7 linked regions of the Daphnia pulex genome follow. The protein of the gene in region 1 interacts with the protein of each later gene in a pairwise test. Links are inferred from orthologs where the notes say so. Each region holds a gene or a part of one and is shown in the gene's direction. Other genes may lie near its edges. The genes, in order: huntingtin-like; nucleoporin p58/p45-like; intraflagellar transport protein 20 homolog; palmitoyltransferase ZDHHC17-like; 33 kDa inner dynein arm light chain, axonemal-like; protein tumorous imaginal discs, mitochondrial-like; dnaJ-like protein 60.

Region 1 (4,016 bases):
CCCTATCTATCAATGGATTGGCAGAAGCCTATTGGGATGTTTCATTGAACCAGAACGTCTCTGTCAACTTAGCTTATTTTGTCGATGAGATATTTCAACTACTTGTTTCTTCCAATTCAAAGTTTGTCAAGGTATTACAATTATTTACTAATAATGCACAAAATTTGAAAATAAAATTGTTGTTGTTCGATTTCAGATGGGCTGCCTGCAAAGTTTGTCTACCTTGAGCTGTTCTTATCCTCCCGCTACGTACTTGGAAGTTTACGGCTGTAGCTCAAAAGGAAATTGCAGTCTCTTGAAAGTATGCATGGCACTCCTGACAAACTCTACGTTGATGTTGGATCTAGTAACACACCAGACCCTAATCACACTTGCCACTCAGCTCTTTGCAGGTTTTTTTCTCATTTAATTTCTTTCTCATTAATTTCTTCTACATTCAATATTTCTTGGAATAGGATGTGTGAAAGCAGGTTTAAACGAACCCCAATTAGAGAAAGATTTTAAAGATTGGCGTTTTCTAAAGGGCCCTTCGTCTGCTACGGCGTCTTGCCTATTGGGTCATGCTACCCGTATATTAAATGCATTCTGCTGTGTTCTTGATGATGTCAATCCATTACTGGTTTCAATTAAAGTACCATTGGTGACGCTTCCAAACCCGTCCGCGTTAAGTCCAATACGTCGCAAACTTCGAAGCACTGAAAGTTTAATCTCAGATAAAGAAGATAAGTCAGATGAGTCCGGCCGTAAGAACAAACCACATTTGCTTAATCCAAGTAATGTCGGGTTTTTTGCTGCTCAACCTCTCTACGTGAAACTTTACGATTTACTGAAGAGTACGCACGCCACTTGCAAAGTATGTATTATTGGGGCTGTACATTTTTTTTTTGTATAGTAAATATTTATTTTCACAACTATAGCTGAATTTTGATACGATTACCTCGGAACGCTTGTCGAATTTTATCCAATCTACTTTGGAATTGCTAGCCGCTCTAATTGAAGTTTCCATTTTCCAAGATATTGGAAAACACAGCGAGGAGATTCTCAATTATTTACGCATCATTATTACAGCTGAACCAGTCTACTGTTTGCGCAACGTTCAACAGGTTGTATTTTTTTCTTTGTTAAAAAATAACCCTAATAGAATATTGATTTCAAAATTCTTTTGTGAATCAATCTTCAGTTACTTAAAGCGCTTTTTGGAGCCAATTTAGCAGCTGTCTGGTTTGACGAAGCAGCCCGATTTAAAAGAAGCGCAATTTCTTCAAGTTTGCAACCAACAGTGAAATGTGACGAGAGCATTTACTCGAGTTGTGGATTAGATGAATTATTGTATAACAGTGCTGGACGTCAAATGAATTTCAAGTAAGTTTTGTTAAAACATTTTATTTCTTCTCGTTTTCTATTTAAATTCATTTTTTAGCCGAAACAATGAAAGGCCAAATCTGATAACCAAATTTCGAACTTCTATAAACAAAATTGGCCCTGATAAAACTGCCTTGACTTCTTATATTCGCTTATTTGAGCCGATGGTCATCAAGGCCTTGAAGGTGAGTTTTAGCCATTCGCGTGTGTCCGTATTTCTACTAATAACATAAGTTTTTCATCAAAGTTGTACACCGTCACAAGCTGTCCACTAGTTCAAAAGCAAGTTTTGGATCTTCTTTGCGAATTGATCCATCTTTGCGTCAACTACTGCCTTCTCGATGCCGACCAGGTTTTTCTCAATTTTGTCATCCAACAGTTTGAGTTTCTAGAAGAAGGTTTCATACCGTAAGTGCTAGTTGATCTTTTTTTTATTGGTATTGATTTGACCATTTTCATTTTAATCTTTTATCAGGCAAGTCGAAACTCTGTTGCCCTCCATGTTTCGATTTTTGTCACTATTATCGTATGATCGCTTCCATTCAAAAACTATTATTTCTGTCCCACGCATTATGCAGCTTGCTGGTGGATTAATGGCTACTGGAAAGGATGCTGAACTGCACGGTAATCCCTTTGCGTGTTTTACTGATTTTGCTGTACGCATAACTTTAATTTTTAAATTTCTAGTGCTTCCCACATTGCAACCAATGGTCGAAGATTTGTTTCTTTCAAGAGAAAGAATGAGTGATAACTTTAAGGAACTTGAAACTCAGAAAGAAGTCCTTATAAATTTACTCATTCGGTTAATTCAGTATCACAAGGTATGTAGTTACTGCAAGTTAATTCTTTTTTTTTTCTTAATTTACTAGTCTTTGTGCAAATCAGTAAGTTTACCTATAAAAAAAATTTCATAATTGTAATCATATTTGCAGGTTTACCCTTTGATAACTGCTGTATTACTTCAAGTGCAGTTTGAAAATGCGAACAAATGGAAATCCCTCTCGAAGCAAATTTGTGATGCACTCATCCCGCAACTCAATAGGCATTCGCTATTTTTGGATTCAGACGAAGCCCTCCAAATGCTTCAAAAGCTGATTTCTCATATGGATCCACCTGTTGTGCATGAGTCTCTACTAGGGCTTTTGCAGACATTTACCCCTAAGCAATCGGAGGATTTCAATACTTCAGCAGCTATGGTAGCATACGCTAAGATACACCTGTTGCACATTATGAGTAAAATGGTTTTGTTTTCTTCTCATTTTAATTTTTTTATTGCAGAACTACCATCGTGTATTGGCCTGCCGTTTAACGGTTTTCAAAACCTTGATTGCTGTTTTTGATGAAGCTTTCTTGTTGGACTGTTTAAATGAATTTAACCTAAGTTATTTGGTCAATCAGAGAAGTGACCCGTTAAATGTAACGCCTACTGAGAATTCACCGCCTGAACACATCTTGTCATGGTAATCCAACAAAGTTATCAACTTCAAACGAATTCATATTAAATTTTTTTTTTCCTCTCTCAGTTTGCTGGTTGACACTATTAAGTTAGCTCTAAGTCATTGGAAAAGTAAAGTGGTTGTTGATAATTGTGGCTCTACCTCCATATCGTGGAGAATTGATGGTTTCTCATTTTCCGTCCATTTAGTACTGGACTTGATTGCCTTGTGTCGTCGCTTATTAAACTCAAGTTAGTAAATCATGTTATCTACTGTTTCAAAATTTTTAAAAAGCTAATATTTTGTTTAATAGATGATTTCCCAGTGCTGCAGACCGCCATTCTTGCAGAATTGGCGCGTGACGAGTGTAAGTCTCCTCTATTTCAAGTAGCAAGGGAATTGATTCCCAATAATCCGATAGTTTTTGTGCGGATTTGCGCTTTGTTATTGTCGGAAAATTATCACATCCAATCCGAAAATATTGCTTCTTTTGGTGGACTTAACGGAAGTATTGCGCAAGAAGGACTTTTTCTATTGCTCTCCGGTGTGGTGGTACGCTCGAAAAACTTTCTTAAATTGTAAATTATCTTCCGACTCAGATGACTATTATCTACTTTTAGCCTAAAGAAGAAAAAAAAATCTTGAAGTTCGTTAGCTTGTATGCAGACCAAATCTTAAATCACTTCAATGAAACACCTGTGAAGAAGTTTTTTGGAAGCCTTATTCATAATGATGAGAAATACGTTCAACCACTTGTGAAGTGTGTGCTGGCGAAAGGCCAAGATTTATTGGTAAAATATCATACTGATCAGCGGATTAAGTGACTATTTATAAATTTTGTTTTTCTCACAAATTAGCAGATATCCTCGGCCATGGCTCTTTTGAATATAATAGAGAATGTCGAGCTTGTTGCGAATTCGGAAGCGATTCTTTTACATATCATTTCCAGTTTTCAGACAATTTCCAGTGGCATTGTGCACAGAAGAATGTGCAAACTTGTTCTAAACGCAAATTTCACTTCTTCTGAATCTAAGCTTCGTTGTTTGGAAAATGTACAAAAAATCGTTCTTCAGTCAGCTAATCAAAGGTTCTTGGCACTCGCCCACCTACTATCCTACGTTTTATGACATCTTCAATTTTCTTTTTTAGATGGTATTCCGAGATCACAGCAGTTCCAAGCGCTACCTTTGAAAATAGGTCTAGCATGTTGCGAGATAT
Region 2 (4,660 bases), on another chromosome or scaffold:
TAAATTTTACATCAATTAAAGAAAAAAAATTTCTAAAGTTGTTATTTATATTCTTCATAAATAATTCGCGCGATTAAATTTCATTTTTCATATTTTAATTATTTTCATATTTTCAAATGCTACCGTTCAGAAACTTTAAGTGATTTGGAAACTGCAACGACAAACTTGGCCTCAGCAACGAGAACGCAATTGAACAGTACAAAGTCTGCTATTGCGGATTTGACAAGAAAATCAAATGGTAATTAATTTTAAAATTCGGTCAAATAAATTTCTAAAATTATAAAGAATGCTACGAATTTGTTATTTTATGAAACAAAAACCGTGTTTTTTATCTCAATTTATTTTAACTGCGAGAGCAGAAGAAACCTTGTGGTGCCATTTTGTATGTGAAAACTAATTTTACAATTTTACAATGTATTGAATTGGTTTAGTGGCACAAAGGAATTAAGTTTAAAGCCACCGTTCAAGTTGAGAATAAAATAATTTGAATTTTCTTTCAACAGCCCAACCAAGTGAAATAGTTGACATTGGCCAAATGCCTACCTCCTGTGCGGATCTGCTGAGAACGGGACATAAACTGAGCGGATTCTTTTTGGTGAAAGGATTGAAAAAGATGGAAATGGTTTACTGTAAATTTTATCCTAATGGAAATGGTACTACGACGTGTTCATATTTCCGAGTTATTGTTATTTGCCCATTAATTATTTTATTTGCCCAGATTTTCAAAAATGGATCGGATATGCCGACGTCAAATCAGCGACTGTTCATTTCTACGCCCAGAGAATCAAGTCATATTCCACAGAATCAACTCCGATTCGTTCGATTTCGCTCGGACGAACGAGGGAAATGCCATGGATTTGACATCGGGAATATTCACTGCTCCGCGACCCGGAATTTATTTCTTTTCATTCACGGGACTGGCGAATTTTCCATACTCATCATCTGTTGTCTATTTCGGAGTTGGTCTTTATTTGAACGGGGTTCGAATCGGGTTAGGTTACGTTGAAGAGGCAAACACCGCCGCTGGTCAATCAAGTCCATTAACCCTCCAGTCGACGCAGAACTTGAAAAAAGGCGATCGGGTCTGGGTGCAGATTTATTTCTTGTCAGTGGGCGTGAAATTGCTTGACAGCAGTAACCACTACACCCATTTTACTGGTTTCATGTTGGAGGAGGAAATTGTCGCGTCCTTATGAGTGCCGATCATTCGAAATGCGCAAAATGCAATAACGTGACAACAAAATACATGATTAGCTGCTGATGATTGACAGAGTTTTTGTAAAGTTATTATTGGATTATATTAAGGGGAAATGGGGAATGTAAAGAGATTTATTCAATTCTATTTTGTTCAGGAGTGGGACTTCATCAAGCAAGCCTACAAATTTTTAACTGTGTATGCAAACAGATTTAATGAATAAATTCAAACTAATTTTCAAGTTTGAGGTAAGTTTGAAAAAATTTGAAAAATGTAGGCGTGGCAAGTAAAAATCCGATTTCGATTGCCAGATTTGATGTGAAACGAATTTGTAAATCCGGCACTGCCGCATGAGGGAAAAAAACAGATGACAATCGGTAAACTTAGCAACGGGACGAGAAACGGACGAGTTTGTTCGGGTGCCGGTTTATTCACAATTTAAATGTTGTATAAAATTTCGAAAGAATAGAATATCACAATGTCTTTTAATTTAACTTCCAATCAGCCCTCTCAACCGTCAGCCTTTGGAACGCCGTCGTTCGGAAAGTAAATATTCAATTATTTAGACTGCACTTATACTCTTGTCTGTGAGTAACATGCTTTTTGGTGTTTTAGTCCAGCACCTACAAATTCTTCATTCTCCTTTGGTTCTGGCCCTGCAACTTTAACAAGTAGTGCTGCTCCTTTTTCATTTGGAACCACTACAGCTCCACAGCAAACTGGAGGTTTTCAAATGGGTACTAGTAATGCATCTTCAACAGGCGGTTTTGGCTTTGGATCCACATCACAGGCACCGGCTTTCAGCTTCTCCAGTGCTCCCCTGAATACAGGAACTGCCACAAAGTCAATGACTGGAGCTCCTTTTGGATTCGGTGCACCAAGCTCAACTGGTAACTTACAAGGAACTAGAATATTTAGTTTTTAAAAAGCAGCATTATTCCCCATAATAACAGGAAAACAAAGATTTACATTCTAGAGTTTTAAAAAATATTGATGGCTTAATTTTCATGTTTTTTTGGAAAATGACCACCTTAAAAACCAAACAATTATTTTGATGAATGAAAGACTGTGAAAACCTAAAATTAATGGAAAGCAGCTGATTGGTTGAATTTTGCAAGATTTTGATCAATTAGTTTTTGTTTGGTGTTGCCATAGAACAGTGGGGTCGCTGCAATAGTTTAAAATTTGTTTCCATTTGAAGTAACTTTCAACTGATTGCTTTTATAGGATTTGGATTGGGTGCAGCTTCAAGTGCTCCTTTTACTGGGCTCACAACTAATGTGATATCTACCACAACAACAGCCCCCTCTCTTGGTCTTGGGGGTATCAATTCAACTACATTTGGAGGTGATCTTTCTGGTAGGCTTATATATTTCAAATATTCATCTGTACAAAACTGATTTTCATCCTTTGAAATCTAGCATCCAACTCACAAGGAAAATCTGATTCAAAAGCTTTTAATGAAATGCCTGTACCTGCCGAAATCTCTCAATCTGTTGAAGAATTCAAGTAAGTAAAGACGGCCAGGGTATTTATATAGTTCTCACAATCACTGACAGTGTATTCAATCTGTAGAAAACATGTGAAGGAACAGAAAGCCAAAAAGGACGAAGTTAGTCGAGGCAGTAACAAGGCCCCAGAAAAAGTGGGCGAGGAGGTTGAAACTTTGAAGAATATCCTCTCCAACCTGGCCAATAACATCCAGCAGCATTCCGCATTGGTCCACAAATTGAAGCATGATGTAGCACTTGTAAGACGCATCACGTCTCATTTGAAAGCAAAGCAAGATTTTAATTTCTTTCAACTTGTTTCAGGAAATTAAAAATGCTGAAATCGCCCAGCGTACAAAAGAAACAGCACCCAGTATGCAGCTCGACAATACGGCGCCTCTTGAATACTTTATGCGTTTAGTGACTGATTTCGAGCAGCGAATGCAGTTTTACAAGTACTTTCGTATTCTCATTTGTGCCTAAGCATTCACTAAAATTATTCTCCGTCTAGGCAACAAATCGAAGACACGGAGAGGAATCTGCTGGCCATGACCAAACAGCATGCATTGACTCCTCAAGGTAATTTTCCATCCCAATGTCTTCAGACTGATGAAATTTAAATTATTCATATCTTAGAACTGATGGGGACTATGAAAAAGTTGCACGAGGCATTTGTTTTGTTGGCTGGACGTGTCCACATGATTCACACTTCGCTTCAAAACTACAAAGACGATTATTTGACGTACCGACGACGGGTTCTGAACGACCCCACTGATATTTTCGCCTCAAAGAGCCACGCCCCTTCGAAATCGGTGCTGGTGAGCCAATTGAACAAGATCGGCAGTGGGCCGTCCCCATTTGGAGGTAAAGAGTCCGAACAAAAACAAACTTTGAGCTTTCAGATTAGTAGTTCACGCACTGTAAATTCTTGTTGGTGATGCGTCATCATATCATAGGTACCTCGGATCCGCTTTCTCGGACATTAAGCCACCTTACCAACGCTGTTCAAGGTTCTGGTGCAGGTTTAAGTGGTGGCACTAGTGGTGGTCTCAGCTTTGGCTCCTCATTAGCTAGTAGTAGTAATCCAGGTAGTCTATCGTTCGGGACACCAAGCCGCCCGGCAGGTACTACAACATCTTTGACCAAAGAGTGGACCATTTTTCAATAAACCACCTTACTTTTGATGGTTTCACATACTGTATAATATTTCCCCCTTAGCAAAATGTTTGGAATGTTTTTTTTCTTTTCCTCTTTGATTTCGTTATTTTTGATTTTGTTTTTCCTTATTTTTGTTTTCTTTTCGTTTGTGTTGTCGGTTTCTTTTAGGTTTTTTCGGTAGCTCTGCGCAGTCGCTGCAGTCAGCCAACTCGAGTTTCCAGCTGCAAAGCCCTCCTCCCGGCAATAAAAGGAACAAGCGCTAAATTTACTCTTAAAAACTCTGTTCTCTCTCTCTCCTCAAGATTCTTACTGTAAACATCCGTTTTTGAATAAACGATAATTCCCATCTTTCCCTTACTTCTTTTACTTTCTCGAGTGTTTTATTTTTTGTTTCCCCCCTCTCAAAGTTGCCCGATAAAATAATTCCGGGAATAAGAAAAGAAGGCCGGTTTGTGTTTTCACTACAAGATTATCCAAAAAGTTTTGGGTTGCCGAGCGGAGCAAGTGCCAGGTTCCGCATATAAGAAAGTTTTGTTTTTCTTATATTTCCCGGGCAAAAAAACCAAAAGTTTTTTTGTTGTAGACGATATATATATCGTTGAAAACGTAGTTGTAGAAAAATGAATCAATAAAGCAGTGCGTACGTACATTCCTCTCGTATAAAAGAAAATAAAAAGAACCTTTTACGTAAAATGCGTCGTAGGGTAGTGATTTGCTTTGTACTCCGTCAACTGTTGCCCAGAAGGTATGTCCTTTATATGACAGTGGAGAGAGATATACCTGGGGAAAAAGGAACTAGTGGTGCATGACGTCGATA
Region 3 (3,037 bases), on another chromosome or scaffold:
TTTATACTCGCATTTAATCACACGCTTTTTATTACCAGACGTTAACTGTGGAGTGGAATCACGCACCTGAAGGTGAAGCTGCCATAACTCGTTTGATGGAAAGCAACAAATTCGTCAAGTTCGGTCATATTGAAATGTCATTTTCACGCGATGTTGTTTACGTGCAAGATTTTCTTAACGACCTTAGACTCTATTAATAAATAGACATGAAAACCTGCATGCATTCGATTGAAATTTCGTTTAAATAATAAGTTTTTTATTTGATTTCTTAATACCTAGGCTTGTTTGTAGTTTGTACACAGGTAAAATTGAATAACGTCAAAATAGATTTTAAAATAATAGTTTGTAGGCGCCACCGCTAGAAGGCATATGTTGTCAATGACTCAATGTAAACAAAGGGTTACGAATACTAGTCATCAAATTACGTTGTAGATTTAAATTGTATTTGATAAAATTGAAATAATTTGCGAAATGGGGGGCTACGTTTCGAAAGCAGTGCATGAAAACATGAAGAGTAATCAAGAGTTCATGATAGAAATAAATCGTATAACAGTAAGTTGTCTTTTTTCGTAAAAGTCCAAAATACAAACTTAGAAAGTATAAATTTAATAAAATCTAAATTCTGTTCCCAAGATTGAGAGGCAGATCCAATTGCAGAATCAGATGAGAGAAAGAATGTAAGTCTTGGTAGAATGTGTATTCTTAGTGGTTCTATTTATTTTGTTTAAGGTCTGGTTGATGGCTTTTGTTTAGGGTGGCGTTGCAGATAGCTCGGACCAGGGAATTACTGAATTGGTTTGGGGCATTTTACACTGTAGCTGCTGCAGGCATGCTGACAGGTTTTCATCACTCTCGTAAACCTGGTGTGCTTGTGCCACTACTACCCTTAACTTTTATCCTTGGCTATCAAATTGATATGGCTTATGGAAACAAGCTTATGAGAATTAAACGTAAGTAAAACCTTATTATTGGCACTATTTGAAAGTTCTAAAACAAGTTATTTATTTTCAGATGAAGCAGAAAACATTGTTAAGTTTGAGAGTGAACTACTAGATTTGCCCATGCACTTACCAACCTTGTCAACCATAGACATGGCAAGACAAGTGCAGCATGATAAACTTATAATGCATTCAGCTGAACCCCCTTTGTATTATTAAGCCTTGAATTCTGAGAAAGTAGTTCATTTTTAACTTTTTATAGAGCATCCCTTGTTCTTGTACTAATTTGGTTAAACTACTTCAGTTTATTTGTCTATTCTTTAAAGCTATTACAAACATGTATTCATTATTTCTTTCTTTTGAAATACTGGAATTGGAAACTTTTTATCAGAAAAATCTGCATTTCTTTTCAAATAATAGTCATTTTAGCATTCAATCTATTAGAAAAAATACCCCCTTTGAATTCCATTTTCAGTCGTCATAGCAACTAAAAGTAAACAAACAAGTCATTTTCTCGAGAAGACCAGCACAGTCAATCATGGATGTGAATAATGTGTTCATGGCGGAGGACGAACTGGTTGAACAAGGATTATTCATCGATGACATCCACAGACTTCGTATCCTTGATCCTTCCTTGGCCGATCAGACAAAAATTCTCAAGACCGAATGCGATCAATTCCTCCAGAGTAAGTGCAGTCAATCCATTTCTACAGAAGAATTGATAACATTTTTTCCATTTCTTTTAAATAGTTTAATCATTAATTCATATGTTTTTGTTTAAGCAACGAACAATTTCGATAAGACGGTCGACACATTTAAAAAGGAGGCCAGCAGAACAGCAGCGGCTGTTGAAATAGAGAAAAAACGGGCTATCGGTTACCGGCTGTTACTGGATTCATTGCGTAAGAAAAAGGAACAAGATCAGCGTCAAATGATGGTATGTGAGCAGTCTGTCTGTATTTTGAAAATATTCTTATCTCTAAAGACTAAGTATTTAATAATAGGCAGAAGTTGATCGTAAACGCTTAAAACTGGAGCAACTTCGCGTCGAGATTGAGATGCTTCAAAAAGCGGATCATTTCCATCAAGAAATTCTCGATCAGTTTCAAATGCTTCATTAATGTGCATATCGGCTATATTTCTTATTTTAATTTATACATTATTTTCTGATTGATGGTGCCTTCAGGCTAAAGAATTTTGTGCATCTACTTTGTCCCAAAACTGTAACATAAATTGCTGGGTCAAGCAACTTTTTTAGAATTACTTCACAAAAGCACAAAACCACTCCACCCCTGTCATCCCCATAAGCCAGAACGCTTTATTCTGTTTCTTTATGATTGAACTTACTCGAGGGCCAGAGAAATCGTCCTTTTATTTGAAATACACACTTTATTTGCAACATCAAGGGACCTTTTCCAACGTTTATTTCCCAGTCTTTCCTTCCACTATCAGCTTTCTTGTTTGTCTTTCAAATACCAGAGAGTTTAAATCGAGATAAGCGATAAAATAGAGCGGGGCAGCGGGAACACGCAATAATAACCGCTTTCAGTTCTTTATGAAGTTGCCGAACCCTATTGGTGACGTTTAACATTTGACGTTGGACATTTTCGTCTGCTACACGTAATATAAGAAGGGTCGCTGTCGTTCCAAGCGTTCTAAGAGAGATTTCGGTGATATCTACCATCTTTTCTGGATTGTTCCAGGCGTTAACTCGTTTGGCAAAGCAGATCGTTTGTAAAATGCGGTTCTCTTTTGTTGTTGTGTGCTTGACAATAAGTCTTGTAACAGCTATTCCAAAACCAAACAAGACTTCAAGAGTTAAAGATGAGGTATTTAAAAATAGTAATTTTGTTGTTAACTTTTCTAAGTGTGTTCCTTAACGCCGATACTTTCTTTAATGACAGCCGCTGAGTAGTCACAAACATTATGAAAATGAAGAGCATAATGCTGACTATGACCATGAAGCTTTTCTAGGAGATGAGGCTAAAACCTTTGATCAACTGTCTCCTGAAGAAAGCAAGGAGCGTTTAGGGTAAGTGCAGTGTGAAATCTCAAACATGTTCTTACTCCATGAAACATTTTGCTATTGTGCAGGAAAA
Region 4 (4,448 bases), on another chromosome or scaffold:
GCTATAGTATTAACACTAGACAACACCTGAAAGATAAACCAGTTATAAGGTTTCAGTGTAAGTGGTTAGCTTAAAGAATTGTTATTCCAATGTATACATACACTGGAATTGGGCACTATAACACTCTGAATTGCTTTTAAAGTTTTCCAAAGACTTAATACTCCACATGTCATTTTGTTTGCTGAACACTTATTCAAATCCATTTGTGACAATAACTCAAATGCTTGGTAAATACCCTGTGTTCTCCTGTAAGCAAACATATATCATGTATATTCATGAATTTATTTTTTATTTGAAAAAGATAAAAAAAAGGCTGTTTACCGTATAAACAGAAATTGTTTCCAAACAGAGATTTTTTCATTATCCTTTATTGGGATAAATGCAAGAGCAGCTTCATTTCTGGGAAATTTCGTGGGAGGCAAAACTGGGACATTTATATTAACTTTTGGTAGTTGACTTTCCTATTTAAATATTACAACAGTTAACCTTGACCAATACTAAGTAATGCAAACATTCCATGTTTAAAATTACCTCGTGCGTTTTAGATATATCCGTATGAACAAAATCTTCAGTGGCAAATGATTTGAACTCCCGAAAAGATTCCATTCCAATTAACTGAGAAGACATCATTGATAGGGAGAAGAATTTTCGAAACACGTTTTCTGAACTGCAGTTACCGGCAATCCAACAAATTCAAACGTGAGAGCCACCGTTCACGACTTCACGTCTCACGTCTGTCAGATAAGAATTCCAATACAGTATTCTACAGCAGCGCCGCGTATGCCTAAATTGCGGGGAGTGGTATGCGGTATACAACCCGCGACCCATGCGCGCATGCGGCGCAACCGCGCAATCTTTATTGTTGGATTCAAAATACTTTTTATTTTATTAAATGTTTATCTAATATTTATCAGAAACTTTTTAAATTATTTTGGAGGCACATTAAAAAATTTATTTGACACCTAATGTCCAGTTTCACACAAGATTCGCTAAAAACTAAAATCTGAAATATGCGAAACACGACGTGACGACTGACGAGACAGTTAAGGGACGGAAACAAAAAATTGGCGAGTATGACAAAACTAATTTTAAAGTAAAGGAAAGCAATGCAAATGAGGGAGTAGACAACTAGACATAAGTAAAGATGACTTAAATGAGATTCTGCGAGATGTTGTTTTCCGCATTCCACCGAAAGGCTATCCCGCATCCCGCTCTGCGCACTTTAAGCATATCGAGCAGCGCAAGCGACGTAACCATAGGCAACCAGAGTACAATCGATATTTGTCTTGCTTTTTGGTGCTGCGGTTGTGGCTGGGTTGTGGTGAAAAAAAAAATGCTTTTTTAAAGAATAGACTTAATATTAAGAAAGTTTAATTAAAAGTATCGGGAAATACCCTTACTGTCCCGAAAATGTCACTCCAGTCTCCCAGTGAAGATCGTTCCAATGACATGCAGAGCAATATAAACACCGGTACTGACCAGCAATATAAAACATGGGACATAGTCAAAGCGACTCAAGTTAGTATCTTATCTCTTTTTTTTTGTTTGTTTTGTAAAGAATAACATTTTATATTGTCTCAGTATGGAATATTTGACCGATGTAAAGAACTCATAGATCAAGGATATGATGTGAACCAAAGAGATGATGAAAATGTAAGAAACCATACAATATTTTTAGTAAGTCACATTTTCAACTGAATGCACAATTTACATGTAAAGGTTACTCTACTCCACTGGGCCTCCATCAATAATAGAAAGGAACTTGTTAACTTGTATATAAATCATGGGGCTCAAGTTGACGCAGTTGGTGGTAAATTACTTGCCACTCCTCTACATTGGGCTGTCAGGTACCTTGTGTTATTTATTGATCAGAATGAATAATACTGTTTGACATTCATTCTACAGACAGGGCCACCTGGCTACAGTAATTTTATTAATAAAACATGGTGCTGATCCAATGGTTTATGATGGAGAAGGATTCCAGTCACTTCATTTGGCAGCTCAGTTTGGACACACTGCTGTGTGTGCTTACTTACTGGCTCATGGAGTTCCTGTCAATAGTGCAGATATGCAAGGAATGACACCCCTAATGTGGGCTGCCTTCAGGACTACAACGTATTCAATTAATGATGTGGCTCCTAGTTAAAATCCAAGTCTGACATGATTCTGTCTGCAGTGTGGATCCTACTCGTTTACTCGCCTCCCTAGGTGCAAGCGTGATTTCTCAGGATAATCATGGCAACACAGCTCTCCACTGGGCAATAGAGTCTCGAAACGTCTCGGCTATATCGCTTTTATTGGAAAGAAATGCTTCTCTGGATGTTCAAAATGAAAAAGTAAATAACAATCTCTATAAACTTGCAAAATTGTATTCCGGCACGATTGATTATTGACGATTTTTTCCAGGGTACAAGTTGCTTCAAATTGCTAGTCCAAGACAAACCTCCTTGGTTGGGACCTCGTCTGTTACACAGGATACTGGATCGCGTGGCTCAGTCCGATAAAGAGGCGCGTGTTGACCAACTGTCATGCATGGCACGGATAAAAAATGCGCGAAATTACAAGGTATTACATCACGATTCCTAATAGTCTTCCCTATTTTATTCCGATTTATTCTTTACAGAAATTACAGCATTGGTTTCTTGTTGCGAGTCCGTTTGTTCTATTTTTCATATTGGGTACTCTTTTTCAAAGCTCTCTGAATTATTATCTAAAAGCAGCGATGTTACTTCTGACCATTGTATGTATAAACCTGTTTGGTCGACTATGTTCCTTTACGTCTGATACAACGATGGAATCTTTACCAGTATCGATTTACTTAGCGACAAAGGTATTTAGTAGATCATAGAAATATTCTGTCCAAAAATATTAATTTTTATTTTCTTCTCTGCTGCAGTGGTGGGTGCTAGTCACTTGGTTTGTATGGCTGGCTTCCAGCGTAAATTGGGTGACGAATGTGGCTTTCACTTTATCCGCGACTGGATTGTGCTATGCCTTTTACAAGACGTGGAACAATGACCCTGGCACAATTTCTCTTTCATTAGACGAGAAGTACCAAGTGAGTTTCATTAGGTCTCATCGCAATCAAAGAAATTAATTTGATCTCAATCCCCCTCACAATAGACCATAAAGCAGTTGGCAGAGTTCGGTCCTGGTTTTGAACCGCAACATTTTTGTAGCTGCTGTTTGTTGAGGCGACCTATCCGTTCCAAGCATTGCTCCAACTGCAATAGATGCGTAGCGCGCTTTGATCATCACTGCCCTTGGGTTGGCAACTGTATAGGCAAGTAGATCAGCCCCAAAAAATTTACAACCATACGAGTGTATATAACTTTTATTTCTTTTAGGTCTCAACAACCATCGCTACTTTATTTACTATCTCTTTCTACTTTCCGTGTCATGCGTGATATTCATTTTTGGTGTCGTTAATTTTTGGAATAAAGAATGCAACGCGCATGCAGGTTTGTATTTGAGTAGCCTGATTATAAAATGAGATTTTTAAAAGACTTTTCCTCTATAGGACTAGGGGTCTTGTATTGTGATGGCTGGGTGACTTTTATAGCCGCTAACGCGGGTTTGCATGCAATATGGGTTACAGCTCTATTGAGTTGCCAGTTATATCAGGTATGTGTTTCGTAAATTCCTACGAATTTGATTTACCAATTCGAATTTGTTTTTATCTTTATTTACAGGTGGTAATCCTAGGTATGACAACAAACGAAAGACTTAATGCTTCCAGATACAAACACTTCCATCGCACTCCTAAAAAGTCTTCTTGGCTCAAAAAAACAAAATATGCAAGTCCATTCGACCGAGGAATTTTACACAATGCTGCAGAGTTTTTCCACATACGAATCGGAGGAGGAAGTAGCAGCAGCGGATCACCTTACCTGCGTCCGCGAGACGTGGATTGGAAAACAGAATTTAATATGGACAGATGGTTGAATGACGACGAAGAAGAACTTATCCCCAAAAATAATGTGAATAATGTTTGAACAATTAGTTTTACGTGCGTGTCGGTTTACATTATACCATTGTGTGTGTTTTTTTTGTACATTATACAATAATAAAGTCACGTCCAAAAGTAATGTCTTGGAGGGGTTATTTGATATTCAGTTACCACCGCTAGATGGCCACATCGATTGTTTTTCCTTGTGTCAACCTCCAGGGTCCATCCAGCATTCACCTCACAGACGAGGGTTGAGTATTAATGGAGCTCGCTTTCCTTTCGTTGTGTCATTTTCATTCGCTACCTTGTTGACGAAAGCAGTGTTATCCGCACTGAACAGACTATCGGTGTTTAGTGAATACTTGCGTAGTTTAAAGGTAAATTCACACCAAGATGTGGCGTAAATTTATGGACGATAGCCCGACGCACGCCAGTGCATCTCCTGGCATTACAATGGCAGAGGTGTTTTCGCCAATGCTCGAACCAACTTCGTTGGAAG
Region 5 (3,912 bases), on another chromosome or scaffold:
ATCCCTGGTTTCTAAGAGATGACGTCATTGGCGAAGTGTTGCTGCCAGTTAACGAAGCTCTGGAGGAAATGACAGATTCAGTCGATTCCAACAATACTGCAGACAACGGAAACCACTCTAGCGCTCTACTATTCCGAGATATTGCGCCACGCAGTCATAAGGTGAGCCCCATCGTGTTGGAAACGGGAGAGAAAAATGAAAAACCCACGACATGCCCAAGTCGCAGAGGGGCGTGTGGTTGTTAGGGAGACACGCAAATGATCCAGCTGCTTTCGTTAAAGTTATAGACCTTTTCCTTTTTTTTTTGAAAACCATCAAAATAGATGAGGACTCACGGAAGAGGCGAGCTTCTGGTGTCGCTTTGTTATCAACCGCAAGCTTCTCGACTAACAGCCGTCGTCCTGAAAGCTCGTAACATTCCCCGCATGGACATGACCGGCCTTGCTGGTACGTTGCCCTCCCTCATTTTTTCCGTTACCTAATCTTCTTGTCATCAGAGTCTTATGATTATTATTATTTGTATTTACTCAAGATCCTTACGTCAAGATTTATCTTGTGCACAATGGACAACGAGTGGCCAAGAAGAAGACGCACGTCAAGAAGCGCACGCTGAATCCCGTTTTTAACGAGTCGTTTGTTTTCGACTTGCCGGCCAGCGCCACTTCACTGGACAATATCAGTCTCGAATTTCTCGTCCTCGACTGGGACCGCGTCACCAAAAATGAGGTAATTTTTGACGAGTGCCTTATTAGAGTGGAGTCGGAATAATATTTCGAACGTAATCTTGAGCCTTTGGATTTAAAACAGGTGATTGGACGTTTGGAATTGGGCGGAGCCAAGACGATCGGAACGGCCTTGCATCACTGGAACGAGGTCTTGAATTCTCCACGTCGTCAAATCGCCGAATGGCACAAACTGAAGGATTGAATCCGGCCGCATTGATCACCCATCAAAAGGTGAAACCATCGCGTCAACTCCAACCTTTTTCCCTCCCATTGGAACATATTATTTCCTCCCCTCGAACGTTATTATCTATTTAAATATATACATATTTACTTCTAACACGATTCGATCTATGTTTGCTATTGTGTCACGGATTCTATTGCTGCTCGCTGTAGACTGGAAAGCTTTTTATACGTGAACAATCCACCCCGAAATGTTATTTCCTCCTTGCTGTCCACACGCCTCTTTATCACAATTCAATTCGCTACAAAAAGCTATACACACTTTTCCATCCACTAAACTATATCAATCGGAAGAACCGGCGGCCACATTATTTATTTTCGTTGCCTGGACGAAATGACGAGGAATTATTTCTATAAATACAAGGATAACGGCATCTTTCCTGCTGTGCTGCTACGAAGAAGAAAACGTTTTCATCGGCTCCTTTGTTTCCCCCTTTTTTGGTCTGGTTCCGAAAACAGAAATTGTTGACAAAAATTTTCATGTGATGACGAAATGATGTAAAACGCGACAATGAAGAAATCAATACACATCAGTTTATTGGGCAATGCAGCTGCTTGCTTTCTACTTCTATAAAAGAAGTAACCCAACCAAATATTTCATCCACTTTACACAAGTAAATAAGAAATGGGAGCTGCGATTGCGCAGTCGTCGGCTTGGATGTTTGATCCATATCGAATTCTTTTATAAACACCTCATAAAACTTGCATCAAAGCGCCGTGAAGTAGAAGCTGTCACGTTTCACAGTCGCTGCTTTAATCTGAAACGACGTCCAAAGGGAAACTGCCAAGTGAAGCGAAAATGTCAGAACGTTTGGCGGGCACTTCGTTTTCGCTGTTGAAATATGACAATCCCGTTCTGGTGCGTGAGCCGAGTGACGGCAACAAGAGAAGAGTAAGGAACTTTGTACTGTGTCATATAAGGAATCCTTTGTTTCGTTGGCCATTGTTTTAATTCGGTTGAGTAACTTTCGTTTACAGGTAGACGAGTTGCCGCAATTGCAACCAGCCTCCACTGGGCTAACCGGCGGGAATACAAGTCGATCCATCATAGCAACCACTCCCGGTCCTGTCCCAGATCCACCCTCTCCTCCTGGGGGAAACAAAAGTCGTGACGCAATTCGACGTGAAGCCCAAGATGCAATCAACGCAATTCTGCCTCCCAAGGAATGGACCGAAGACGACCAGATATGGCGGCAGTTGGTACACATACGAATATGAAAAATCAAATTCAATATAGTCTTCATTCCGGGAAAGAGTCAAAGCGCATTTTAGTTATGTTTGTATTCTTGCATCGTCGGTCTTTCTGTTTGTGATAAGGTCTCGTCTACGCCGGCGACGAGATTGGACGTCCTCGCTTTGCAGGAGCAGTTGGATTCCAGACTCAAGCAGAGACAAGCTCGAGAAATTGGAATCTGTCCAATCAGGAGGGAGCTCTACTCGCAGTGCTTTGGTACTCGCATGGCAACTTATTTTTCTACGATCGATAAAATAAATAATAAAATAAATAGACGATGTTGGTATTAAAGAGACGAAATTACTGGGTTTCAGATGAACTGATCCGACAAGTGACCGTCAGCTGTTCCGAGAGAGGCTTCCTCTTAGCTCGAGTCCGCGACGAACTCAATTTGACGCTGCTTTCATATCAGACTCTGTACGAGAGCAGCTTGGCGTTCGGCGTACGGAAAGCCCTGCAGGCCGAGATAGGACGGGGAGAAATGGAGGACCAGATTGAGCAGTTAAAGCACGTTGAGCAGAATCTCGAATGTCAAAAGACGGAGCTGAAGGTCGAGCTGGAACGGAATGCAAAAAGAGCTCAAGAGGACATGGAGTCTCTGAAAGAGCAGCACGCACAAGAGGTGGAATCCTTACAGCAATCCAACAAACAGCTCAAGGTAAATCTTAATGAAGACCTATTGTTGGAAGAAATAAGATGAAATAATTAGGTTAACTCGTTATTTCTTTAAAATCTAACCAGGAACTTTTGGAGGGAGTATTGACTGGCAATAAATAAAACGGGACCATCTTTGTAATATTAAAACATTTGAGTTTTTCTTTGTTAAATACACTTTTGAGCATCACAGAATTTCGATAGAAATATGAAGACGAATACTGACAGAGTTGTTCAATTCAAGACAAACAGGAATCCAAATGTGTGTTGATCTGACTGAGGTCGATAAGCGACTGGCAAATTGGACAGGGCACTTTTTTCTCATCTTTGGGGCCGTCATCCGCGTCCAAAGAAACTATTTCAACGACCTTTGGAGTTTCCTTTTTGATGGATGATGTTGAAGGATTGGCCCAAGGAGTGTTGACTTTTGGTGGGCCACCACCCAAGAGTCGGCCTTGTCCAGTAAAAGGGATAAATAACGTCATAGATGGAGGCTTGGACACAATGCCTCCTTGAGTCGGTCTTGCATCATTTGGTTCACTTGTTTCTGTTGATCCAGAAGATGGTGATGTAACCGTTATTGTCGAACTCCCTTTGTTCTTCACCGATCCTGCAAAGCCGGTGACAGTTTTTCCTTTGCCCGAAGTGGTGGAAGTAGTAAAATATCCGGATATAGCTTTCCCTTTGGGAGGACTAACGTTCTTGCCCGAAAATCCTGTCCAAGCTTTCCCTTTCACGGGATTATTGGTTGGCAGTTTAGGTTGAGAAGTAGATAGATTCCCAGTAGCAGTTACTGCTTTCTTAGATGGTCCAGCAGTGGGAGAGTTGAGAAACCCCCGAATATCGCGTGCACCTGATGGAATTTCAATCTTTTGCTTCTTGGGGTCTGAAAAATAGACACATACACAGTAAATAATGAATAGAAAACAGGAAATCTTCATTACTAAACAAATACCTGGCCCTCCCTTATTCTCATTACCTTCTTTTTTCTTTTTAACACCATATCCTTCCGGTTCTTTTATTTTTACATAGGAACCACCACAACTTGCTTGATGAGCA
Region 6 (4,630 bases), on another chromosome or scaffold:
ATAAAATATATTTAATTTATAATACTTTGATGAAGATAATATATATAAATTATAAATATATATATACAATTTTTTTTTCCTTTCAGGTAGCGACTTTGAATATCAAAGACGGCGAAAATTGTGCGAAACTATTCAAGTCTAACAATAGTATAGGTGCTGTTATTTTTTTCGGTTGTCTTTTTGGTACATGGTGTCAATAAATTATATTATTTATTATGATAAGTACACATCTAACAATTCAAAGCCAGGATACATCGTCTTTATGCTGCTGGATATATGATACAGTAATGTTATTTTAAAGCAAGTTGGTGTAAGGAGGAAAATCCGTAGATGCCATCATTTATTGACTGTTGAGATAAGAAGTAATAATAAAGTAAAGTAAGTCATCGTTTTCTCGAACAATAATTCTATACCATCCATACTCGCTTCAACAGTCTTTGGCGAACTGCCTAATTGTAATTCTCTCCAGAGATGACTAATGCTTCCAGCATCACTATTTTTTGTCAACACCGTATTTCTTTCTAGAACCTTGTGAATTGATTCGTCCGCCTTTACCCTAAATCCTACGAATTTCTGAACGTTGAATATAATAAAGGGTAGTTTGTTCGTTAATTCCGTCATTTTCAGGTTGGTCGGGTAAAGCCAGGAAGGTGACTTGGAAGAAGTGAGGTTTTTTTAAACCTTACATTGTTCAGGAGCTCGTTGTCAATGTTTGTAGATTAATTTTTATTTTATTTTTGCGAATTTTGCTATTGCTGTCAGTCTAGATATTGTTTGCACTAGGTTCAGTGTTTTGGTTTCTCGTACACTTTTTCCTGTTTTTTTTTGTTTTGTTAAGTTTCAGGACCAAAAGCTTATCAGCGTCGTTAATCAAGATGGATTACGATTATCCGGAGACACCATTTCTTTCTTTATACATCTATTTTCAAAAAGGTTGACTCGATCATCGAAAAGAAATATGATCAGCTTCTGTACGATCAATTCCTAAGGCGGAAGACATTCCGGATGGAACAGAATTTTCTGCTATTCGCCACACAGCCACACTGGCGGTGCGACGAGCGGTACATTTTTCTTTTTCAATTTGGCGTTCCGTAATACCGAGAGTTCATTTCGTATTCACTTTGTAATGGGGGAAATAAAATTTAATATATATTAAAATCTTGTATGCACCTGCACCTTCTCGAATTCTTTTATATTCATAACTTTAAACTGATATCTAGGATCAAAAGAAAACCTTCCAATATCGCTGCGTAGATGATTTCGTTATTGTAAATTTGTAACAAAAAGATATTTCAAGGGTTCTTCACGTTAGCAGACTTCCCTTTTTTTTTTTTTGTTTTTTTTTTTGAATTTTTAGCTAATATTGTGGCGATCGTGACGCCATGGATGAATGATGATTGGCCCGGGCATGGCTTAAGTATTTTTAAAACGAAATCAAGTGATGACATCTAGGGATCACTGCCTCACTTAAACAGTCGAGTCGAAACCAACGATTTGTACCTTGTACGTCCCCATGTGGCCCCGGTTACAGAAAATGGCCTGCACTTCCCGAAGTTTGTTTGGATTAATTATAAAACAGAGGTTTTTATTGCCCATAACGAGTCATGCTGCACTTCAATCTGAAATTCCAAGTAACTTTCTACACTAGCATAAAATTATGAATCTTTAAATGTTAATCATACTAAATTTTCAAATTTCTTTACTTAGCAAGCAGAAGAAATTTCCATACATCAAACATCACGTTCGCAAAAAAAAGGGATTATTACGATGTTCTAGGTGTTCCTCGAAATGCTTCTTTAAAAGATGTTAAGAAAGCATATTACCAACTAGCTAAAAAGTTTCATCCTGATACCAATAAAAATGATCCAGAAACTATAAAAAAATTTCAAGAAGTTTCTGAAGCCTATGAGGTATATATTTTAAATTATTGTTTACTTTGATCTTAAATTGAAGAGTTACATCATAGGTTTTGAGCGATGATGGGAAGAGAAAACAATTTGATACATGGGGAGCTACTTCAGAGCAAATGGGAGGTGGACAGGCTGGACCAGGTGCTTCACAGGACTTTTCAAGACATCAAAATTGGAATTTTCAGTCTAGTGTTGATCCTGAAGAACTGTTCCGAAAGATTTTCGGACAAGCTGGCTTTCAAGGAGGAAATTTTGGTGAAGAATTTGCTGAATCAAGGTTTGGGTTTGGTGCTGCTCAAGAGGTAAAATATTACTTTTCTGATAGTATTTTCTGATAGCTATTTTCAAGAAGTAAATATAACTTGTTGTTCTTAACTTACAGATGACCATGAATTTGACATTCGCTCAAGCTGCCAAAGGAATCAACAAAGATATAAACTTGAATGTGGTTGATACATGTCCAAAATGCCGTGGTTCAAGAAGTGAACCTGGAACAAAAGCAGTAAAATGTCCATTTTGCAATGGAACAGGGATGGAAACAATTAGCACTGGTCCGTTCATCATGAGATCGACTTGCAGAAGATGCATGGGTTCAAGAATGCACATAGCAAATCCTTGTTTGGAATGTGAAGGAAAAGGTTCAACAGTTCAGCGAAAAAAAGTAACTGTCCCCGTTCCGGCAGGTAAAATTTGGAATCTTTTTTTTACTTAAAACATTTCACCGAAGAAAATTAAGCTGATGTATCGCATATTATCCAGGTGTTGAGGATGGTCAAACAGTAAGAATGCAAGTGGGCCAAAAAGAAGTTTTTATCACTTTTCGGGTAGAAAAATCCGATTATTTTCGTCGCGATGGTGCCGACATACACACTGACGCTGCTATTACATTCTCGCAAGCCGTCCTAGGAGGAGCCATCCGCGTTCAAGGAATATATGAAGAGCTAACAGTTGATATCCCTAAAGGAACGCAGTCACATACACGTATTCGTATGAATGGAAAAGGATTACGTAAAGTTAATGGTTACGGATTTGGTGACCACTACATTCATATAAAAATCAAAATCCCGGTCCGGCTTAATGAAAAGCAAAAAAAACTGATTTTGGCTTACGCTGAACTTGAAGAAGATACCCCAGGAACTGTAAACGGAATCACCTACACCAAAGATGGTAAATAAACACAATTAATACATAATTTTAAGATTACTGTATACGAGACAAGATAAATAAGGACTATTAAATGGGAATAGCATTTTCTACATATTGCACTAGGGTCGAAGTATTAGTTTTTCGTATAGTGTGCGTTATTGTTAGGTAAACGAATGGATGGGATCAAAGAAGCGCCGATGGCTGGCTCGGAATCCCAATCAGCTAGCAAGGAGGACACCCAGGGAAAAGAAGATGGTCTTTTTGGCCGCCTTAAAAAGGCCATTTTTGGATAAAGATAGGAAAAGTCGCGACTACTACCATAGAGTACGTAAGTAATAGTAAAATGTATTGACATGACAAACCCTGGGTGTTTCCTCTCAAGCTGCATCTTAACTACCAGTTATTGATCTCTGACTTTAAGTCTAGCTAGCTTTGATTTATGCTTCGTTACGGATGCGCGTTAGAATTTATTGATTATTTTTATTGTAATTGTAATTTTGAATTTTTTTATTTCAAAGGTGCGAAAAAGGCGAGTGATGGCTCTAGCAAAAAAGGTTCGACTAACTCTTCTCAAGATGACGATTCCAATTTAAAAGAGACAAAGGAGGATAAAGCCCAACGACAGAAATTATAAGTTTAATATCCAACAATTTCTCTCGCCAGTTTCCTTTATTTTAAGGAAGGTAAATAAATGTAGTCAGTTGTTAACGCATTTGTATAAAATAAACCATGTCGAGTTACCACATCTTCACTCAATTCATTTGGTGATAAAAATTATTTTTCATTTTCCTTGATCATTGACTTTTGTTTTTTTTCAACTCCGAATGCTTCAATTTCCAGCAAATTTCAAATGACGCTTGTATTATAATTCAAATAATTGGATTCCTTCATCAAAGCAAGAACTCAAGGAATGGACTTTACTTAGCTGTAATTCGATTGCGAAATTTGTTAAAATAATTTTACTCAAATTGTGGTTATTAAGACCGATTGATTGGGGTGGGAGCTCTAACTGACACGAAATTGGTTTGGTAATAGATCTAAACTAATTGTTTTCACGACAAAAGGACCAATAGATTGTCGTGACAATGGACTAAACCTTGTTTATCGCTGCGAAAGATGTCGTGGTAATAGAAAAATTTAGACCGTCATGACACGACATCTGAGATAATACATCGTACCGTATAAAAATGAAATCTAAACTAAATTGGAATTATATTCGGTTTTAGCTTGAAGAGCTAATAAAAGTAATACATCAAAATAATTTTCAAATGTAGCATTTTAAGAAAGGTGGTCCAGTAGCTATATTTATTTTTATTTTTTTGTTTTAAATTTTTTTGTTTTAAATTGCTTTTTTTATTTTTAGCGAGTTTAAACACTGCTTTTTTTGTTATCGATTCAATAACTACAAATATTGATTGCAACCCGTTATCGATATATAGGAGAAAAAAAGAAACGCGTTTCTTTGGATTTTTCTGGCAACGTACGTAAAGAAAACAGAAGTAACATTCGAAACATTGGCAACACAGCAACGTACTGTCATGGTGGAGTCTCCTTTTGTGCTGTGACCTAGTTAG
Region 7 (3,782 bases), about 2.2 Mb from region 1:
TGCTATCTGTACCGTAGGATATCGTCCTCAGACCAAGGAACAAGCCTCATTAGTTAAGGATTTGTGGAACAATGGGGTTCGCGCCACAGTGTTAGATCATTGTCAGGTACTTATTATATTTTTCTTCCCAACTGTGTGTTTTCTTGTGCTAATTTTCTATAATTGCTTTACAGAGTCTTGATGAAGCTCAAATTTGGTGCAGAGAAAAAAATGTGCCGCACATAGTAATTCTAAAGGATTCCGAGGTTGGTTCTGCGAGGTTAAAAACATGGGAAAAAGATCGGTTAGTACTCATTGTGAATAGTTGGTAAGATGGGCCAGAATTAAAATTTTTTTCAACAGATATACTGAAAGGAAAATGATGCTGGGTGAACTGATTGACGTTTTAAAGTGTAGTGCCGAATCTGCAAACGACACGACTGAATCTTTGGTTTCACACACTCGCCAAGATTCTATGAACAGAAGTAATAGTTTAAGTGAAACTTGCGGCAATCAAACGGCCACTAGTTTACAAGGTATCGCGGGTAATCCAATTGTGAACTTTCACATCGTAATCGAAGAAAAACTTCCTGTTCATGCCAGAAAGCGTTATGAAAAACAGGTAATTTTGTTTCCTTTGTTCAAATTCCATTTAAATCTTATAACAAAGTATCTTATTCTTATTACAGATTCTAAAGCATATTCAAACAACGCTGCAAAATTTTCATTCGCGAGTTCAAGTCGATATCGTTGCAATAGAAGCTACCGCGGTTGTCGTTCAATCGTTATTGATTGCCCTTTATGTTGATCCTAGCGACGCAAAGGCAGTAGAGCAAGCGATTGGAGTTGTCGTTGATAAGTAATCCAAAACATATTCATCATATATATTTATCCAAACTAATTTTTTTAATTTTTTTAGACACCGGAGACAACGCAAATACTTGCAGAGAATATACGAGCAACTTCTTCAACTCAAATTTGAAAAACATGTTACTGTTCTGATGATCTATGGACTACACGATAATTCCAGTAGAATTTGTATGTAATGGCTAGATTGCTAATGTAAAATTGGGGTGAATGTGTTATTTTATATTTTCTTATTTTAAGAGTGAAATCAAATCAAAGTGTTGTAATTTGCTGCTAGGCTGGGGTCAACAACCCTGACGTTTCTGAAACTGTTTACAAAATGGAAAATAAAATCCGTTTATGAGGTGTTTTTCTGTTTGTTGTTTATATTATTTGTGCATTTCTAAGAAACATGTAATTTAAAAAACTACCAATTGAACTTCAAAAATGCTAATTTCTTATAACTTACTGAAACACCACTAGATTGCAGTGCGCAAGTATTATGTAACTTAGTAATAGCAGAAGTGATTTTTAAAAACAAGTGAAGTTGTAATTCTGATGAGGTGGTTTATCCACTTCTCGTTCACGGTTGTTTAGCTTTTAATTTTAAGCTAGTTTTTTTTATTGTTTGTAGACTGAAGAATTTCAGGGAAGGGATTAAAGGGTTTGACAACAATCCAAAATTGTCGAGCCTAAAATTAGCTAGTCTTTTAATTAGGCGGCAAGCTACTTCGTCGTGTGCCCATGTCAGATTTATCGACAATTTTTTAGGTCGACGAACTTGAGGTTATTATTGTCATTAGGCGAAAATAATGGCAGGTACAAAGAAATCATTGGAGTAAGTCCCTGTACAGTTACTCCATTTAGTTTTAAAGTTATAGATATTTAATGACTCAATATGTCTTTATAGCCCACTGTTACAAACCCATTACGAAATTTTGGGACTTAAACAAAACTGCTCTTCTAAACAAATCAGAGATGCATTTGTTTCAATTTCAAAAAAAGTAAATGCATTTTTATTTATTTAAAAAGAATTTGATGATGTTTTACAACACATAAATAGGTGCACCCAGATGTTAACAAAAGTGACCCAGATTGCCACAAGTCTTTTCTTAAGCTAAATGAAGCTTATTCTGTCTTGTCAAAGCCATACAAAAGGCAATTGTATGATGCTAGTCTGATGAGTAGAAAATATGCAGCTGTGGATAATTATTCCAGTTGGGTAGAAACTAATGCACCATTTGGAAAAGTCAAGTATGTTTTGTGAGCCATTTTTTAATAAATTATTACTATTTTGTTATCCAACTAATTTTCCAGTATTTCTATTATGTTTTAGTGAATGGAGAGATGAAACTCTTTGGTCAGCAAGAGACAAAACCAAGGACAAATATTATAAAGACAAACCTTATTATGGGATTAAAGGAATGCAGAGAATATCTAACAAATACATTGCTGCTGGCTGTGTTGTGTTTATGTTAGTTGGAGCGGCCTTCCATTTTGTAATTGTTAAGTGAGTGTCTCTATTTTTTAAGACATGTACTTTTACTTGAATCTGTATTTATTATATAACAGGAAATCATCTGCCAGAGCCTTGGAGGTTCTTAACCAAGTCGATAAAGAAAGCACCAACTGGTATCTGGAAACTAGAAGGAAGGCTTTGGCAAGTTCTACCAGTGAGCAAATAGAACGCTTAAGTAAGGAATGGGAAACGAATGATAAATCAAATAAGTAGCTGCGTATCTTTTGTATGTACATACAGAATTTTAGTGTTAAAAAGATTGCACATGGACGAAAGAGTCTTCTTTCCAAAAAAATTTACGCCCAATTCAGATGCCTTCATTTGAATAGGTGCTATTCGCGCTTATTGTATATTAACTCGTGGTTACTACTTTGTAAGCTGTGCTTGTTTGAGGACAGCAAAACTTTTCTTTGCGACATTAAATCAGGAGTTCCGGCGTGCGCGTGCCTTACTAAGTATGGTCAGAGTTAATAAATCGTTACTTCCGCAAGCGATACTGAGATTGTTGAATTACATAGCATTGTTACCACATATTGTTTTAGAGTTTTGAAGGTGACGGTTCCAACTCCCTGATAGCTCTGATTACAACCTCAAGGAGTCCACAGTCCACACTCTCATTCGGTCGTGTGCAATAATGGTTGGCAAATTTGGGATTCCTCGAGACCATTTCCGTGTTGCATTTTATCAAGTAAGTGAAATTTTCTCATGTTAATTTTGACGTTTCTTTACGTAAAAGAATAGGTATGTTTTTCTAAGAAAAAAAGGCTAATTTCAATTTAAAAACTAGTTTTAAACTGGTCTTCAATATCTTGAATTGAAGTTGAAAAATTGCCAAGCCTCTTGAATTTGCTAAAAGGAGAATATTTGCTTCAGGTGTTAAGTTGATGTAATGCATTTTCAGGGTTGATAACTAGTTATTAAGTTTTTTTTATCAAACATTTAGTTGCGTCTTGCAAAAAAACAAAATTTCATTAAAATGGTTTCTATTTTTGTCAACCCTCTCCATTGTGGACTAACTTCCGTGATAGAGAATTTCTATTGAAAAATTGCAAGGTCTTTTGATTAGCGTGTGCTTTCCATAAAGAGTAAAGAGAAAATGGTGTGTATAGCCGAAAAGGAACAATCGTTTCTGGAAACAAAACGGACCGCGCGATACTTGATATAGTCATCGGTGTGCATTAGAATAAGTGCGATCCCTTAAGGCTTTCATCGTTTTTATAGCGAAATCCTTTATAAACAAAACCTGAGCTAAAAGGCTCTCGTCATTGCTTATTTCGCCCATTCAGTAGTTCGACCGTTCATCAGTCAATACCGTGTTTCAGGATTCAGGCCTCACCGATTACTTAATTTTTTTTTTTCAAGAAGTGATGAAATATTTTTAAAAATTGGATATTGATACCAATACTTGTTTATTTAAAATGAATTGGAGACAGTGGTT

Evidence for each region.
Region 2: the proteins of huntingtin-like (region 1) and nucleoporin p58/p45-like interact in binary tests that used the Homo sapiens proteins (3 or more experiments, as listed by UniProt). The link is inferred for Daphnia pulex from reciprocal best matches to the Homo sapiens genes HTT and NUP58.
Region 3: the proteins of huntingtin-like (region 1) and intraflagellar transport protein 20 homolog interact in binary tests that used the Homo sapiens proteins (3 or more experiments, as listed by UniProt). The link is inferred for Daphnia pulex from reciprocal best matches to the Homo sapiens genes HTT and IFT20.
Region 4: the proteins of huntingtin-like (region 1) and palmitoyltransferase ZDHHC17-like interact in binary tests that used the Homo sapiens proteins (3 or more experiments, as listed by UniProt). The link is inferred for Daphnia pulex from reciprocal best matches to the Homo sapiens genes HTT and ZDHHC17.
Region 5: the proteins of huntingtin-like (region 1) and 33 kDa inner dynein arm light chain, axonemal-like interact in binary tests that used the Homo sapiens proteins (3 or more experiments, as listed by UniProt). The link is inferred for Daphnia pulex from reciprocal best matches to the Homo sapiens genes HTT and DNALI1.
Region 6: the proteins of huntingtin-like (region 1) and protein tumorous imaginal discs, mitochondrial-like interact in binary tests that used the Homo sapiens proteins (3 or more experiments, as listed by UniProt). The link is inferred for Daphnia pulex from reciprocal best matches to the Homo sapiens genes HTT and DNAJA3.
Region 7: the proteins of huntingtin-like (region 1) and dnaJ-like protein 60 interact in binary tests that used the Homo sapiens proteins (3 or more experiments, as listed by UniProt). The link is inferred for Daphnia pulex from reciprocal best matches to the Homo sapiens genes HTT and DNAJC4.

Annotation. Positions count from the first base shown.
Region 1 is NC_060020.1:1,043,479-1,047,494, forward strand, and holds part of huntingtin-like, read left to right. Parts: coding exon 1-131; intron 132-196; coding exon 197-392; intron 393-455; coding exon 456-853; intron 854-917; coding exon 918-1,103; intron 1,104-1,180; coding exon 1,181-1,362; intron 1,363-1,420; coding exon 1,421-1,547; intron 1,548-1,609; coding exon 1,610-1,770; intron 1,771-1,837; coding exon 1,838-1,986; intron 1,987-2,049; coding exon 2,050-2,183; intron 2,184-2,294; coding exon 2,295-2,558; intron 2,559-2,640; coding exon 2,641-2,822; intron 2,823-2,885; coding exon 2,886-3,049; intron 3,050-3,111; coding exon 3,112-3,350; intron 3,351-3,418; coding exon 3,419-3,589; intron 3,590-3,655; coding exon 3,656-3,885; intron 3,886-3,947; coding exon 3,948-4,016.
Region 2 is NC_060024.1:3,688,425-3,693,084, reverse strand, and holds nucleoporin p58/p45-like, read left to right. Parts: upstream 1-1,558; 5' UTR 1,559-1,673; coding exon 1,674-1,741; intron 1,742-1,810; coding exon 1,811-2,085; intron 2,086-2,422; coding exon 2,423-2,554; intron 2,555-2,616; coding exon 2,617-2,704; intron 2,705-2,770; coding exon 2,771-2,945; intron 2,946-3,009; coding exon 3,010-3,140; intron 3,141-3,196; coding exon 3,197-3,264; intron 3,265-3,321; coding exon 3,322-3,549; intron 3,550-3,641; coding exon 3,642-3,809; intron 3,810-3,997; coding exon of another isoform or gene 3,998-4,011; coding exon 4,012-4,106; 3' UTR 4,107-4,200; downstream 4,201-4,660. UniProt on the Homo sapiens protein: Component of the nuclear pore complex, a complex required for the trafficking across the nuclear membrane.
Region 3 is NC_060023.1:11,437,428-11,440,464, forward strand, and holds intraflagellar transport protein 20 homolog, read left to right. Parts: upstream 1-1,476; coding exon 1,477-1,624; exon of another isoform or gene 1,625-1,645; intron 1,646-1,720; coding exon 1,721-1,875; intron 1,876-1,942; coding exon 1,943-2,059; 3' UTR 2,060-2,343; downstream 2,344-3,037. Other genes in the region: uncharacterized protein LOC124198431, read left to right, coding at 39-197; plasminogen receptor (KT)-like, read left to right, coding at 472-552, 634-677, 754-950, 1,012-1,157; calumenin-B-like, read left to right, coding at 2,678-2,767, 2,843-2,970, 3,033-3,037. UniProt on the Homo sapiens protein: Part of intraflagellar transport (IFT) particles involved in ciliary process assembly. May play a role in the trafficking of ciliary membrane proteins from the Golgi complex to the cilium.
Region 4 is NC_060024.1:10,255,332-10,259,779, reverse strand, and holds palmitoyltransferase ZDHHC17-like, read left to right. Parts: upstream 1-1,238; 5' UTR 1,239-1,410; coding exon 1,411-1,518; intron 1,519-1,581; coding exon 1,582-1,653; intron 1,654-1,719; coding exon 1,720-1,847; intron 1,848-1,905; coding exon 1,906-2,115; intron 2,116-2,176; coding exon 2,177-2,336; intron 2,337-2,406; coding exon 2,407-2,565; intron 2,566-2,623; coding exon 2,624-2,830; intron 2,831-2,896; coding exon 2,897-3,058; intron 3,059-3,123; coding exon 3,124-3,283; intron 3,284-3,347; coding exon 3,348-3,461; intron 3,462-3,520; coding exon 3,521-3,624; intron 3,625-3,692; coding exon 3,693-3,995; 3' UTR 3,996-4,088; downstream 4,089-4,448. Other genes in the region: aladin-like, read right to left, coding at 1-26, 102-246, 322-461, 532-630; neurotactin-like, read left to right, coding at 4,343-4,448. UniProt on the Homo sapiens protein: Palmitoyltransferase that catalyzes the addition of palmitate onto various protein substrates and is involved in a variety of cellular processes.
Region 5 is NC_060021.1:10,925,610-10,929,521, forward strand, and holds 33 kDa inner dynein arm light chain, axonemal-like, read left to right. Parts: upstream 1-1,573; 5' UTR 1,574-1,764; coding exon 1,765-1,857; intron 1,858-1,943; coding exon 1,944-2,165; intron 2,166-2,282; coding exon 2,283-2,415; intron 2,416-2,513; coding exon 2,514-2,857; intron 2,858-2,940; coding exon 2,941-2,976; 3' UTR 2,977-3,045; downstream 3,046-3,912. Other genes in the region: synaptotagmin-4-like, read left to right, coding at 17-161, 324-447, 533-726, 790-927; DNA-dependent metalloprotease dvc-1-like, read right to left, coding at 3,093-3,739, 3,809-3,912. UniProt on the Homo sapiens protein: Involved in sperm flagellum assembly.
Region 6 is NC_060024.1:9,132,857-9,137,486, forward strand, and holds protein tumorous imaginal discs, mitochondrial-like, read left to right. Parts: upstream 1-1,465; 5' UTR 1,466-1,513; coding exon 1,514-1,631; intron 1,632-1,707; coding exon 1,708-1,910; intron 1,911-1,966; coding exon 1,967-2,212; intron 2,213-2,292; coding exon 2,293-2,593; intron 2,594-2,669; coding exon 2,670-3,077; intron 3,078-3,221; coding exon 3,222-3,349; 3' UTR 3,350-3,384; intron 3,385-3,574; coding exon of another isoform or gene 3,575-3,690; 3' UTR 3,691-3,801; downstream 3,802-4,630. UniProt on the Homo sapiens protein: Modulates apoptotic signal transduction or effector structures within the mitochondrial matrix. Affect cytochrome C release from the mitochondria and caspase 3 activation, but not caspase 8 activation.
Region 7 is NC_060020.1:3,246,512-3,250,293, reverse strand, and holds dnaJ-like protein 60, read left to right. Parts: upstream 1-1,357; 5' UTR 1,358-1,637; coding exon 1,638-1,663; intron 1,664-1,735; coding exon 1,736-1,829; intron 1,830-1,888; coding exon 1,889-2,079; intron 2,080-2,161; coding exon 2,162-2,335; intron 2,336-2,397; coding exon 2,398-2,519; intron 2,520-2,673; coding exon 2,674-2,894; downstream 2,895-3,782. Other genes in the region: eIF-2-alpha kinase GCN2-like, read left to right, coding at 1-106, 174-283, 343-601, 669-838, 899-1,025; potassium channel subfamily K member 10-like, read left to right, coding at 3,763-3,782.